3 linked regions of the Saccharomyces cerevisiae S288C genome follow. Changing the gene in region 1 together with any one later gene gives a genetic interaction. Each region holds a gene or a part of one and is shown on either strand. Other genes may lie near its edges.

Evidence for each region. A genetic interaction does not mean that the proteins touch.
Region 2: mutations in GRX7 (region 1) and YER187W together harm fitness more than expected from each alone (negative genetic interaction), as found in Saccharomyces cerevisiae (one large-scale study listed by BioGRID).
Region 3: mutations in GRX7 (region 1) and UBP9 together harm fitness more than expected from each alone (negative genetic interaction), as found in Saccharomyces cerevisiae (one large-scale study listed by BioGRID).

Annotation. Positions count from the first base shown.
Region 1 is NC_001134.8:264,958-269,823, reverse strand, and holds GRX7 (glutathione-disulfide reductase GRX7), read left to right. Parts: upstream 1-2,487; coding exon 2,488-3,099; downstream 3,100-4,866. Other genes in the region: alpha-1,2-mannosyltransferase MNN2, read left to right, coding at 321-2,114; YBR013C (uncharacterized protein), read left to right, coding at 3,943-4,332.
Region 2 is NC_001137.3:563,671-568,200, forward strand, and holds YER187W (uncharacterized protein), read left to right. Parts: upstream 1-2,559; coding exon 2,560-2,985; downstream 2,986-4,530. Other genes in the region: YER188W (uncharacterized protein), read left to right, coding at 4,370-4,530.
Region 3 is NC_001137.3:353,135-359,275, forward strand, and holds UBP9 (putative ubiquitin-specific protease UBP9), read left to right. Parts: upstream 1-2,331; coding exon 2,332-4,596; downstream 4,597-6,141. Other genes in the region: SHC1 (Shc1p), read left to right, coding at 1-102; ribose phosphate diphosphokinase subunit PRS2, read right to left, coding at 4,971-5,927.

The DNA.
Region 1 (4,866 bases):
AACATGCAAGTCAAGTGAGTCGCCATTGGCTCGCTTGGTGATTAGGTGACTCTAATACATCGTCCAGGACCCGTTATTACCGTTCACGTGCTAAAAAAGGATCGCGTCCTTTTGCGGAGGGATGAAAAAGATAGTGAAAAAATAACAATGAAGAAAAAAAAAATATAGAAGAATCATCAAAATAAATTACGTGTACTTGGTGTTGCTTATACGTTAAAAGCAGAATTGCCCTACTTTTTAATATCCTCGTGCTGCTCAAGGTATCATATCTACTTCGAGACAAATCAGTGTAGGTAGGTCAGTAAAATTATATTTTCAGTATGCTGCTTACCAAAAGGTTTTCAAAGCTGTTCAAGCTGACGTTCATAGTTTTGATATTGTGCGGGCTGTTCGTCATTACAAACAAATACATGGATGAGAACACGTCGGTCAAGGAGTACAAGGAGTACTTAGACAGATATGTCCAGAGTTACTCCAATAAGTATTCATCTTCCTCAGACGCCGCCAGCGCTGACGATTCAACCCCATTGAGGGACAATGATGAGGCAGGCAATGAAAAGTTGAAAAGCTTCTACAACAACGTTTTCAACTTTCTAATGGTTGATTCGCCCAAGGGGAGTACTGCAAAGCAGTATAACGAGGCATGCTTATTAAAGGGTGACATTGGAGACCGTCCCGACCACTACAAAGATCTTTACAAGTTGTCTGCTAAGGAGCTGTCCAAGTGTTTGGAACTATCTCCGGATGAAGTAGCAAGTCTGACCAAAAGCCATAAGGACTACGTAGAGCATATAGCGACTCTCGTCTCGCCAAAGGGTACGTACAAAGGGTCCGGTATAGCCACAGTGGGTGGCGGGAAGTTCTCCCTTATGGCATTTTTGATCATTAAGACTTTAAGGAATATGGGGACCACGTTACCTGTGGAAGTCCTGATCCCTCCTGGTGATGAAGGTGAAACTGAGTTTTGTAACAAGATTCTGCCTAAGTATAACTCCAAGTGTATTTACGTTTCAGATATTCTACCACGAGAGACGATTGAAAAATTTGTTTTCAAAGGATACCAGTTTAAATCATTGGCCCTTATCGCTTCTAGTTTTGAAAACCTGCTCTTACTGGATGCTGACAACTTCCCCATCAAACCCCTAGACAACATATTCAATGAAGAACCATATGTGTCTACGGGCTTGGTCATGTGGCCCGATTTCTGGAGGCGTACAACTCACCCATTGTATTACGACATTGCAGGTATTGCTGTGGACAAGAAAAAGAGAGTTCGCAATTCTCGAGACGATATCACCCCACCTGCTGTTTACACAAAGGATTTGAAGGATTTGAGTGACGTCCCGCTAAGTGACCTAGACGGAACAATACCCGACGTGTCTACGGAATCCGGCCAACTGATGATAAACAAAACGAAGCATTTGGCTACGGCTCTTCTATCTTTATTCTACAACGTCAATGGACCAACGTGGTACTACCCAATATTTTCTCAAAAAGCTGCTGGTGAAGGTGATAAGGAAACTTTCATTGCCGCTGCAAACTTTTATGGTCTATCATTTTACCAAGTTAGAACAAGGACAGGCGTTGAAGGCTACCATGATGAAGACGGGTTTCATGGTGTAGCAATGTTACAACACGACTTTGTGCAGGATTATGGCCGTTACTTAAATGCTATGGAGAGCATTGGCAACAAATACGGTGGCACTAAATCAGCTGATGCAATCAAGTTTGACAAAAACTATTCCCTCGAAAAATACACCGAAGAATTTTTCGACAACGAGGACTTAAATGCCAAGAATCATGTAGATGTTATGTTCATCCATTCAAACTTCCCAAAGTTTGACCCATACGATTTATCTAAAAGCAATTTTTTGACTACGAATGGTAAACCTGCTCGTTCATATACGGCCTTAAAAAAGGTAAAAAATTACGATATTGAACTAGAGAATTTCAAGGTTTTAAACGAATATGTTTGTGTTAATAAGAATCCTTTCAAATATCTCGATGACCTTTTAGGGCAGGATAAAACGGAATGGAAAAGAGTGTGTGGTTACATCACCGATAGATTAGCATTTTTAGAATCTACTCATGATAAGGCGATTGCCGGTAAATAATATGCAACGGGTCGGACTATAGTTTGGACAACTTCCATTGGCGTTTTCTACATTCTTATTACTATTCCTTACATAGTTATGTTTATTTATCTTCCAGTTATGTAAATTTTTTCCTTCACAATCCATATAAAATGACTTTACTACAGATGTATAAATATGCAGTCCCGGGTGTATTTGAGAATCGAGACTACGTCATACCGGTAAGTGGGACTGCGTTTTGAAAAAAAATAAAGAAGTACTTTCGGCAGGATATTTGCCAATGTGTACATATCCCCTCAGTGAAAAAGCTCGAATCAAATAAAAGAAAAAACCTATATATTGGAAAGAAGCAAAATTTTCAAATTAAACGCAAAACAACTGAAGAAAATTAGAGATGGCTATTGTTATAAACAAAAGAAACGTGAGAGTCTTGGTAATAACTAATTTACTGCTCATTGTTGTGTTTTTTGTGTTAAGGAATTCGAATGCTAGCGTCAACGAAAGTATTACTACTCACCATCCTGATTCATTGGTGACGTTTGACAATTCAGGAAATGCACCTGGCACTCACCAATCTGTCCATGATACAGTAAATACACAAGATAAGGAAGCCGAAGAAGTTGATAAAAATAGTGGGGACGCTGAATTTGATGCCGCTGCAGAATACAACAAAATAATGGAACAGTCACCCATGATTGTATTTAGCAAGACTGGCTGCCCATATAGCAAAAAACTGAAAGCTTTGTTGACTAATTCGTACACGTTTTCTCCATCTTACTACGTTGTAGAATTGGATAGGCACGAACACACAAAAGAACTACAAGACCAGATTGAAAAAGTCACTGGTAGGAGAACAGTCCCAAACGTTATCATCGGTGGTACTTCCAGAGGTGGTTATACTGAGATAGCAGAGTTACATAAAAATGATGAACTTCTAGACTCTTTCAAAAAATGGAGCGATGGGGCGTTTACTGTAAAAGCTAATTCGCAATCTGAGAGTGCCTAGATCAGATTATAAACTGAGAGTTATTCTTCTTCTTCTCCCACAGTAGCGAAAGAGGATATTTAGGTAGTATACAGATTTAAATGTAGTAAGGAAAAAAATTAAATATTGGCCATCTGTTTTAGGCATTTCATGTGGACAACATAAGCCTTTTGGACTGTTTAAAGTAGGTTAACGTAGAGCAGAAAAATATGAGAAGAAGCCTGTAATTTGTATAGTCAAGCATATATATTACATGAGTTTGGTGATCAGCTTAATTTTTCAGTATTCAAAAAAATGCTTCCAATCGGATTTGAACCGATGATCTCCACATTACTAGTGTGGCGCCTTACCAACTTGGCCATAGAAGCAGTTTTTGATGTGAGAGTCGCGTAGCGAATTTGCTTATACAAATGTTAAGGTAACTTCAGATCTAAACTCAAACTTGTATTTTCCTCTATATTTATCTCATCTTGGATTGTGGTTTCCTAGTGTTGGTATAAAAATCAACTATCGTCTATCAACCAATAGTTATACTATCAATATATTATCATATACGGTGTTAGATGATAGACGGTATTTGATTTTTATTCCAACACGAATGATTGTTACTTGATTTGTTGATGAGAATAAATCTTTAGCCCACAAATTTTCGTATTCAAGGAGAGACAAAATGAGGCCGCCACTTACAGAGTATCACAAATCTGAGATAATCTATAAAAACCACAGCTACACCAGGACAGCATACACATATACATCAACACTAATCTAGATAGCCTCGCTTCTTAAGTTAATTTTCAGAGATAGAAAAGACTTAATAGTACAAGGATCCGTATTAATTGCGTTTTTAGGCCACTTAACCTCATAATGATATATCCCTTATTCAGGATATGTATCCTAGGTGCATTTCTGTTGGGTAGCTATGCATGTCTTGAAAATAGTACGCAAAAGGGTATTGAAGGGGTAACTCTCTCTCATAATAGTGTACAAATTAATAATACTTTGGCAAAATCTGCGCCATTTTGTGAGTCAGACGCTCTTTCAATGAATTATTCAACTGAAAATATGTTAAGTAATAATGCATGCGATTATACGAAAAATTCTTCGTATCCATATATTATTACCATTATTACTAAGGCCTTTGATAATGCCCTTGAAAATTCACTTAATTTACAAGCAAACAGGAAGCTTTATCACAGAGTGGGGACGTGTATACAGAATATTTTTTATCAACTGTTGTTAACTGTGAATTACTGAGATATATGTGGGTAATTAGATAATTGTTGGGATTCCATTGTTGATAAAGGCTATAATATTAGGTATACAGAATATACTAGAAGTTCTCCTCGAGGATATAGGAATCCTCCAAATGGAATCTATATTTCTACATACTAATATTACGATTATTCCTCATTCCGTTTTATATGTTTCATTATCCTATTACATTATCAATCCTTGCACTTCAGCTTCCTCTAACTTCGATGACAGCTTCTCATAACTTATGTCATCATCTTAACACCGTATATGATAATATATTGATAATATAACTATTAGTTGATAGACGATAGTGGATTTTTATTCCAACATACCACCCATAATGTAATAGATCTAATGAATCCATTTGTTTGTTAATAGTTTGAATGTTTTTATCGGAAGAGGTTTGGTCATTACGTCTGCAATATTCTTTTTGGTTTCGATATAGCATACGTGCAGATGATTTCCTGATACTTCATCTCTCAGTCTCATTGCTTTAGTACCAAAAAATCTGTTTCTAAATTTCTCTTCATTATT
Region 2 (4,530 bases), on another chromosome or scaffold:
TAACTACAGAAATAGCTAAATGAGTGATTACTGTGCCATCATTTTGACTTCAAAGATCATCTATATCTTGATATAACATCTACCTGTCGAAAGTAAGATCATCCCTTTGCGGGCATGTAAGGTGTAAGATATAAGAACAAACAATTGCTAGAAAATAGCTTTGAATGAATGTTAAAAGGGACTGAACTTAGAAGTGTGCGATTTTCTGTTTTCAAAATTTGCCCAAAGCGCTTCTTTTCTTTTTAAGAATTGTATAGATGTAATTATTTAACGGATGTCTGACATTATTGAACCTTCCTAACTCCACAAAAATAACCAACGGGACCTCTACCTTACTAAACCACTTCCCGCCCCATTAACTAACCAGCATAACCTAGACAATACAAGGAAATGTACTTCGAAATTTTAAGGTAAACGCAATTCTTGTCACAATATAAAGCTCTCACTGTGCTCATACACTGCTTCGATAATAAAAACCAAATGGTTTCTACTAAAACATAGCAAGCCTCACAAGATATAGAGATCACACACCATTGAAAAAGAAAGTTCAGCAAGTTTGCTGGAGGTTGCAAAGAGACTAACGAAGGGCTTTCATAACGACATTTTACAGTTATTGATAAAAGAATGCTTTTACGACAGCAGAACCTATTGGTTTGAAGAAGATAGAGGTCTAGTAGTATATTGTTGCTTTAATGATTCAAACTCTTAACAATGTGGGCAAATATGCGTATGATTTCGTTCTGGGAAAGGATAGTAAGAAGCCTTTTTGATTACAAAACCGTGAAAGACGGTTTAGCAGCTTTTACAGGAAACCTGCTTTACCTTAGCCAGTGTTTTCTCATCTTCAAAAAAAAGTATTGTACGCAACTCTTCCATCTAGCAGAGCTCCCGCTCTTTTTCAAACAAGTTTCATTATATTTATTCTTAATAATTTTGGTATCATCGAGGTGAGGTCTTCGTTGTTTCAACACCAGCTATTTTTCAGCGGCTTACAATTACGTAGTTCTATTAACGAATACACTGGGAGGTGAGTATAATCATGGACTGTAACACTATACGACTCCAACACGTTATATGTATCAGTTATATATATATATTATATTATTTTGGGAAGAGTAGCATTGCTTTTGAAAGTACACGGGGTTTACTTTGGCTCATAGAATGGGTCTGGATATGAAATTCTGAAATATTCAGATTTTGGAGTACTGAAAATATTTAGCAAGAATTTCAAATATTAGTTAGTAAACCAAACCAAGGCATCTGAACTTGAACCTCCATAACTCGCTTTCTAACATAATGAGCTTGTATGACATAATATTATAGAACTCGAGGTTAACCTTTAAATATAAATATAGTAATCTTCATGATAATAATTTCAGGGTAGTGCGCGTATTTGTCGAAAAAACGCAAAATGACAGAAATTCTATGTTTACTGACTTTAGATTTTGTTTTAGATCAATTGGCGGAAAAAGGACGCAGTCTGTAACTTTGATTGGCATCTTGATTTGATTTGTTGGGTGGTTCTCTTACAATCAATGGTTTATTTCATGGAAAGCTTGATGACATGTGATAGCACACCATGCTAATTAGTGAAAAGAGTCCTTGTTGACTTACCACATGTGCAGCCGCCTTTTACCGTGGTGCGAAGCATATTGAGCGGCCTGGAGACCAAGAATGTCAGGGCCTTTAAACAATAGAAGAAGTGTATAGGAAAAAACTAAGGTGTTTTGAGATATTTTTTATAAAAGTAGTATTTCTTAAAAATCAGCGGGGAGCCATTCTTTGAAGGCGCGCTTGCAAATTTTAGGTATTGGGCTTGATTATTTTGGCAAGTGTCATGCATTGTAACAAATCTATATAAAGTGACAATTCTGGAACACTGTATCGTAATCCCAAATAATGTATGTAGAATAGAAAAAAATATATGAAAAAATGAATAGATCATACACAGACGACATGAATAGCAGCCCTCCAAATTACTTGACAACAAGGACGTTTAGAATCGTTAGATTGTTTGCAATAATTTTTGCACTGCTTTTGGTAGCGTACTCATTATTTTTAAGCACACTTAGAACTGGAGCTATACCTGACCGCGCCAACACTGCTGCTCTAGTACGGCGAGCTAGGTGATCATTTGCGACTGGATTAGGACTAGGAGGATTTTTAATTGCTGCAGCCGCTTATGCTACTCCTTACTGGGTCGCAGCAACCTGTATCGCATCCACTAGCGGAATATGTTCACCTATAGCTGGTGCTGTTTTAGCAACTTCAGCAGTTATAGTTGCAGCAGTTTTAGTGGGAAAGAGTTCTGGCTCAGCAACAAAGCGAGGGTTAAGTGAGACTATTAATGTACTGAATCATACTATAACACTCACTGATCATGTGCTCAATGGGCAAACATTGTCTAATGGTACTGGTAGTAATTTTGTTACAATAGAGTTTAGTGGGTATGCAGTACATGACACTATTAAACGTGACGGTGCTGCTGAGATCAACTTTGTGGGGTATACTACGGAGCATGGAACCCACATCAGCACGAGTAGCGTACATAATGTGAGCATGCTCATCGATCAAATCGTGGCAGCGGTACCAGGGGTACCTGATATAAGTGGCAACGCTTCGGCCCTATCGTTACAGAGACGCAGTCAAGAGTTCGCCACCTCATGGATATCAATGACATATAGTCAGAGTTATGGTGACCTGGCACAGAACTGGCAGAATGACGAAGGTGGAGCAGGAAATTTTGATTCTTATGCTGAAGAGAAGTTACAGAATTTCTTTTCAGGTAATAGGGATTGGAAATACTGCTTTGCTGCTGAGGACACGAAAAACGGTGAGCCACTTGATTACGATGACATACCTGGTGACGGTGCAGGCACGGGTTCGGCATTCAAGTCTGAGATATATTTTAACACTTACGGTGGTATAGATAATTATTGTAATGACGAGCATATCGGTGCTCAGAACACTGGAGATGGTCGATAAAGCTTTACGCCTGTCGCTGAATTGACTGACCCGAAATTAAGAACTGTTGACGTAGTGAATTACGATCTAGTTTATATGTCATAATGTAGTAAGTTTATTGGACCCTTCTATATGTTATGTAAATGTAATAATTACATAGTTACTGCTTTTGTACATAGAAACTATAGTTTCTTAAGTACTACCGGATTAGAGGTTTGCTACTATATGTTTTCCTTGTCTCAAGCATTACTGAAACAACTCTGAAACAATACTAAAACATTACTCATATCATGCTTTTGGGTTACCACATTCAACAATAACTCGAATACATTTATAAAAAAAACAAAACTAAGGTACAAAACACACACCACACCACATACGCGCTGATTGGTTTTATGGAAGCTAATAGTTCAGACATAGCTCAGAAAAATAATAATAAGTATTATCAAATATAACTCATCTGGTTACATGCTAAGTTCTTGTCAAGTGATATAGCGTTATCTTTATTATTGAATTAAATTCTATAATTAGAATTCGACTACACCAACTAATGACTCTAAAAAATATGTGATTGCCCTTCAAGATTGCATTATTTCTCAATGCATTACATACATAGAGTATACTAGATACAGATAGATGATTGTAAGTGTTGGAACAAGATTCAATTATCATCCTATTTATTGCGATAGACGCACTACTTGAGAGTGATATACTTACTTATGCTACTGCATTCAAAGAGTACCACTAAACAATCTCAACAGAATCAATCAGACTTTTTTTTGCCACAAAAACTTTTAACGATGTCCTTTGGCAGTACTGTATTTTGAGATTAAAGGCGTTCAGTCAATAAAAAATCTAAATTCTTGTTCATTTTCAGTTCTGGTATTTTTTTCATATTAATGATGGGGTGGCTCTGGAGGCTCATTTTTCCCACTGAAGATCGCTGGTAATTTCGTTCGTATGTTTTAAAGAGAACTATATCCTGTCGCCAATTATGTGCAGTTGATGAGAAAACTAAGATAGAAATAAGTAGGGATGGAACCAGGATCCACAAGAAGCGCGTTTAGCCGATCCGGCTTATCAGGTACGAGAAGCAGTATTATTAAGTAAGAAAGCGCGCAGGAAAGCGGCCTTTTGAAAGCACGTCTGCAGACATCTCACGACACATTCCCAAATAGGGCCCTGCTAAAAAAAAAGCAGCAGAGCGTACGTTGCCTGGGAAGCATGGTTTAGCGTGTTGCTATATTATGGTAAGGGGGGTGGTCAGTATACGTTGTGCTGACTGCCAGAGAATATCCTTATTCACAATTATTTGTTGAGTTTGATACTTATTTACAGAGACTATATATAATGACACTTTTGGAATACAGTATCGCTACTCAATATCATAAAAAAAGTAACAATAATGATGCCTACCTACCTAGGAAAGTTAACGTGGTCATACTTTTTTACCACTTTAGGACTAGCTTGTGCTTACAACGTAACAGAACAAATGGAATTTGATCAGTTCAAATCAGATTACCTTGCCTGTCTCGCACCAGAACACAGAAACATTGTAGTCGATTT
Region 3 (6,141 bases), on another chromosome or scaffold:
GCTCGCAGAAGTGGAGGGTTTGTTTCGCGAGGACATCCTCCTTCGGCACAGAAATATCATAAAACCTCCCATGAAGCTGTGGCAGCCAAAAAGTTGATTTAATAGATAAATACAAACTTCGTTTTCCTTTTATTTTGTTGTTTTTTTTTTCACAAACTGTGGAAGTTCGATTAACTTTAGAAGTTTGTTTGATCAAAAATAGACTGATCCTCACACCTTTCGTTACTATTTGTTACTTTGCTGTATATCGAATAAATAAACCTGACTAAACTCCTTCTGTTATTTAGCGCAGATCCTATATGCTGCATTTTTAGATGTATTTGAGCACTACTATCGTTAATGCCGTGGCATTGGCTATGGACCAGTTAAGTCACGGCCTTTCTTAGTTCTATCATATACGACGTTATACTTATTTACTTTCCCAGCGTTGAAATTAATGTGTCTTTTTCATAATATTTACTTTTTGGTGCGGAAATCTGTAATATTTTAAAACAAAATCTCATCCTTTTGAAAAGAAACGATGAAGAAAAAAAATAATAACATACATTGTACCTTCACTAACACTTGTAAAACAAACGCTTACATTATAATGGCACAAATGAGCAATCAGTGTCACTTCTTCCTACATAAGCATAATTCAAGTATCGGGATATAAAGCTATTATATACCGCTTAAGATAAGAGGTATACACCTCATTGATCAAATACGCAACAGCGTCTCCTTTCAGACCTTTGTGGAGTAATTTCTGCGGGTAGGATTGACTATTTTTCAAGATCAATGCCCCCTCACACTAAGACCTGTTTGCTTAGCATCATAAATGAGTTTTTCCATAATTAAATTTCAACCATAGATTAGAATTTCGTTGCGGGATAAAACTCCAGAACCACAACGATTATGCAGCAAATGTAACCTTGAACTAAACTAAGATTTTGTTAGAGCAGGTGGTTTCCGTTACTCAGACAAGAACCTATAGTAGAAATATAAAAGTTTAAGTAAAACTTTCTTGGAATAGGAATCAGCCATCATCTATCAACTAGTGTACTGATATTCATAATACTGGTATACAATCATATACGGTGCGGGAAGATGACATAAAAAATTGAGAAACACTCATCAAATTTAATGGAGGCCGAAATGCAGGGACTCAGATCGTGATAGAATAATAAACGAGAACATATAAAATGGAAGAAAAAAGAATAACAACAATATGTAGATTTATCGATTCTGTTGATAATTAGAGGTAAAAAAATAGTATTAATGAAGAAATAATTACTGATCTTCTTATACTAAATAAGAGAGGTATATAAAACACACGCCGATTGGTCATATTAATCATGACCAATATAATAGTGATTCCGGTAGTTACTATACATTGATGTGACGACTCATATTCCTCATATATGTACCTACCATAACATGTTCAACTAATAGGTGTTTAACACAGCTTCAGTATTGTCTGAGCTTCTCGTTTAACATTCCTTCTGCAATAGGCGCAATCACACTTAAACGTATACGAGGTGTACATTAATATACGATGTAAGCATTAGATTGTTACCATAGCAACTCATGTCACTATTAATTACTCTCGTTCCAACAGATTCTCCTTTTATGGATTCCATATCTCGAGGAGACTTCTAGTATATTCTGTATACGCAATATTATAGCGTTTACGAACAATGAATCCCAACAATTATTTTAAAATTCACCAACATCTCAATATGTGTTTTATGAATATTTTAGGTGGGTATTGTCATACTGACGTATTCCATTTTGAGATGCAACACATACGTGTATTGTAATCCGATATAGTGTAACGGCTATCACATCACGCTTTCACCGTGGAGACCGGGGTTCGACTCCCCGTATCGGAGTACTTTTTTGACATCATACAGTGTATGTATGGGGTTAGGAGCCACCTTCCAACAAAGCATCACGCTGTCGTATCTCAATTGTCCTTCAGCAAAAGAAAAAGCAGTTGGGCTCCTGTACGCCATATATACTTTATATGCGGTTTTTACCCCGGAAATCGCGTTTATTAATGTCAATGCGCGATTTCTATTATGGGTTGAAAAAGTTGCACTTCTGTTCCTTTCCAAACGATATACGCCCCCCCCACAAGAAAACGTTTCTCTTGCATTCAATAAGGTCCATCGAAGCTGTATTTGGAACTTCCGATTTTATTAAACTTCTAGGGGCGAACTCAACCTTTCGCTTGAACAAGCTTGAATGTGTCGAAAACCTTAGCTCGATCCTTAAAAAAGTATTTGCATTATCAGTAATAAACAGAAAATTAAAACATTTACCAAAGGCAACGAGTCTTCCATATGAAAAATGATAAAAAGATGGTTATCTGTGAATAGGAAAAAGTCACACCCGGAGAAGAACACTCAAGGTAATGACGAAATTAATCGGAAAGCAACTAGCCTGAAGAAAACGAAAGGTTCTGGAGATCCCTCCATAGCGAAATCACCAAGTGCTAAGAGTAGTACATCAAGCATACCTTCTAATCTTGCGAGCCATGAAAGAAGAAGCAAGTTTAGTAGTCAAACGGATAACCTTGCAGGAAATAAACATTACCATGAGCATTACCATAATATGGCAAGTACTTCAGATGAAAGAGAGTACGATTCCTCGACTACATATGAAGATCGTGCGTTCGATACAGAGTCCTCCATACTATTTACTACTATTACAGATTTAATGCCATATGGGGATGGTTCCAATAAAGTGTTTGGTTATGAAAATTTTGGGAATACTTGCTACTGCAACTCCGTTCTACAATGCCTTTATAATATCCCCGAATTTAGGTGTAATGTGCTGCGATATCCTGAAAGAGTAGCCGCAGTAAACAGAATACGCAAAAGTGATTTGAAGGGTTCAAAAATAAGGGTATTCACTAATGAAAGTTTTGAAACATCTACTAATAGCGGAAATTCTAATACGGGGTACCAAAGCAATGATAATGAAGATGCACATAACCACCACCACCTTCAGCAGAGTGATCAAGATAACTCCTCTTCTTCTACTCAAGAAAAACAGAATAATTTTGAAAGAAAAAGGAACTCGTTTATGGGTTTTGGAAAAGATAAATCGAACTATAAAGATTCTGCAAAGAAAGATGATAACAATGAGATGGAACGGCCTCAGCCTGTTCACACAGTTGTAATGGCCTCTGATACATTAACAGAGAAGCTTCACGAAGGCTGTAAAAAAATTATTGTGGGAAGACCGCTTTTAAAGCAAAGCGATTCCTTATCAAAAGCTTCAACTACAGATTGTCAAGCAAATTCGCATTGCCAGTGTGATTCACAAGGCAGTAGGATTACATCAGTGGATGATGATGTCCTTGTTAACCCTGAGAGCTGTAACGATGCTGTCAACAATTCTAATAATAATAAAGAGAATACGTTTCCAACAAGTGAACAAAGAAAAAAAGCCGCTTTAATTAGAGGCCCCGTTCTTAACGTAGATCATTTACTTTATCCAACCGAGGAAGCTACACTTTACAATGGACTAAAAGATATATTTGAGTCTATTACTGAAAACTTGTCGCTAACCGGTATCGTTTCACCTACAGAGTTTGTCAAAATTTTAAAAAAAGAAAACGTCTTGTTCAACACTATGATGCAACAAGATGCCCATGAATTTTTAAACTTTTTATTAAATGATTTCAGTGAATATATTCAACGCAATAATCCCAGAATGAGATTCGGACCACAAAAGACAGACAACAGCAACGACAACTTTATAACGGATTTATTCAAAGGTACACTGACGAATAGGATCAAATGTTTAACTTGTGACAATATCACCTCAAGGGACGAACCATTTTTAGACTTTCCAATAGAAGTACAGGGTGATGAAGAGACTGATATCCAGAAGATGTTAAAAAGCTATCATCAGCGTGAGATGTTGAACGGGGTTAACAAATTTTATTGTAACAAATGTTATGGTTTACAAGAAGCAGAACGTATGGTCGGACTGAAGCAACTGCCCCATATTCTGTCATTGCACCTAAAAAGATTCAAGTATTCAGAGGAGCAAAAGTCAAACATCAAACTTTTTAACAAAATACTCTATCCACTAACTTTGGATGTTTCTTCCACTTTTAATACATCAGTATATAAAAAATATGAACTAAGCGGCGTCGTCATCCATATGGGGAGCGGTCCACAGCATGGTCATTACGTATGCATTTGCAGGAACGAAAAGTTTGGGTGGCTTTTGTATGATGACGAAACGGTGGAATCCATAAAAGAAGAAACTGTGTTACAATTCACAGGTCATCCAGGTGATCAAACTACAGCCTACGTTTTATTCTATAAAGAAACACAGGCTGATAAGACCGAAAATCAAAATGAAAATATAGACACTTCTAGTCAAGATCAAATGCAGACTGACAATAACATTGAACAGTTAATAAAATGCGATGATTGGTTAAGGGATCGTAAATTGAGGGCAGCTGCAAATATTGAACGCAAAAAGACCTTGGGGAATATACCTGAAGTTAAGACTGCAGAAACCAAGACGCCATTAAATGATAAAAAACGCAATAAGCAAAAAAGAAAATCGAGAATATTGAGCTTCATCAAATAAATCGGGATTGTTTCGATACATCATATAGTTGAGACCCATCTGTTCTAAAAGTATCAATATTAGTGTACCATTTTTTCTTCCTTTTTTAAATAATTTCCACGTTTCTTTCTATTGTTCCTGATCTTTCGAATTTAGTTGTATTTCACTTCACCTACTGTAATAACTTTTTTTTTTTAGAGCACAATAAAATTTCACATATTTTCCAAAAGCAAGGGCGGTAAATCAGAAAAGATTAAGCTTTAATGAAAATCTCATAGAGACCAGATGAAGAATATTGGTGGCAGCATAAGCGCTAATACTGAATAGATATACGCATTTTTTTTCAAAATATCTGTTAGTACATTTATACAAATATATTCGTTTATACCTCTTCTTTAAACAGGCGCATGTGTAAATAAATATGAGACTGATTCTCCATTATGCAATCTTCTGATAGCTTCTGCAATCGTAGGGCTGATATCCACCTGATCGACAATGTCCAAATCCAAATCAACAGGTACCGTGTTGGTGCAAACAATTCTTGATAACCTACTATTTATTAACTTCTCCCTAGCTGAGCCAGAAAATATACCATGTGTGACAATAGCGATAACCTCCTTAGCACCGTGATCCATTAATGTGTCACAGGCTTTCACCAGCGTACCACACGTGTCAGCCATATCGTCAATCAACAAGCATGACTTACCAGCAACATCACCGACAAGCAGCATTCGCGAAACTTCATTAGCTTTTTGCCTCTCCTTATGAATCAAGGCAAAATTCATATCCAGCTTGTCCGCTAAAGAAGCCACCCTTTTCGCACCACCAGCATCAGGCGATACCAGTATCGCATTATTGAAATCTGTTTTGGTCCTTATGTAATTCAACACACTTGGTTCACCGTATAAATTATCAACCGGGATATGAAAAAACCCTTGAATTTGTGAAGCATGGAGATCCATAGTAATAACATGATCACAACCCGCAGTTTCCAAAAGATTGGCAATCAGCTTCGCAGTGATGGGCGCCCGCGATTTATCCTTCTTATCTTGTCTAGCATAAGGGAAATTTGGTATTACTGCCGTAATTCTTCTGACTGATGCCGTCTTACAAGCGTGAATTAAGATAAGTAATTCCATTAAGAAATCGTTGATTTCATGTTCCCCGTAACCAGTTTGGATGATATATACGTCTTCATCACGAATGCTTTCCCCTATTGTAACAGACGTCTCTTTATTTGAATACTGATATACCCCCACTTTAGATAACGGTACACCAAGCCTTTGGGAAATAAGCTCAGCAAGCCCAGGATGTGAGTTACCAGCTAACAACTTAATACTGTTTGTAGACATATTCAACGAAACTTACGACAAGATAGTCTTTGGATGATGAGGAATATCCTCTTCTTAGCAATCCCTCGATGCCTCCTCATATCATCTATTGTTCAAAATTTTTTCATTGTTGAAAAATAGTCACGTGCTTAACCATTTTGCTGCGCGATTTGGTAGGAGGATAAATACACGGGCATACCGTATCTGTTCAATAGCAACAATGTCGGAGAGAGCT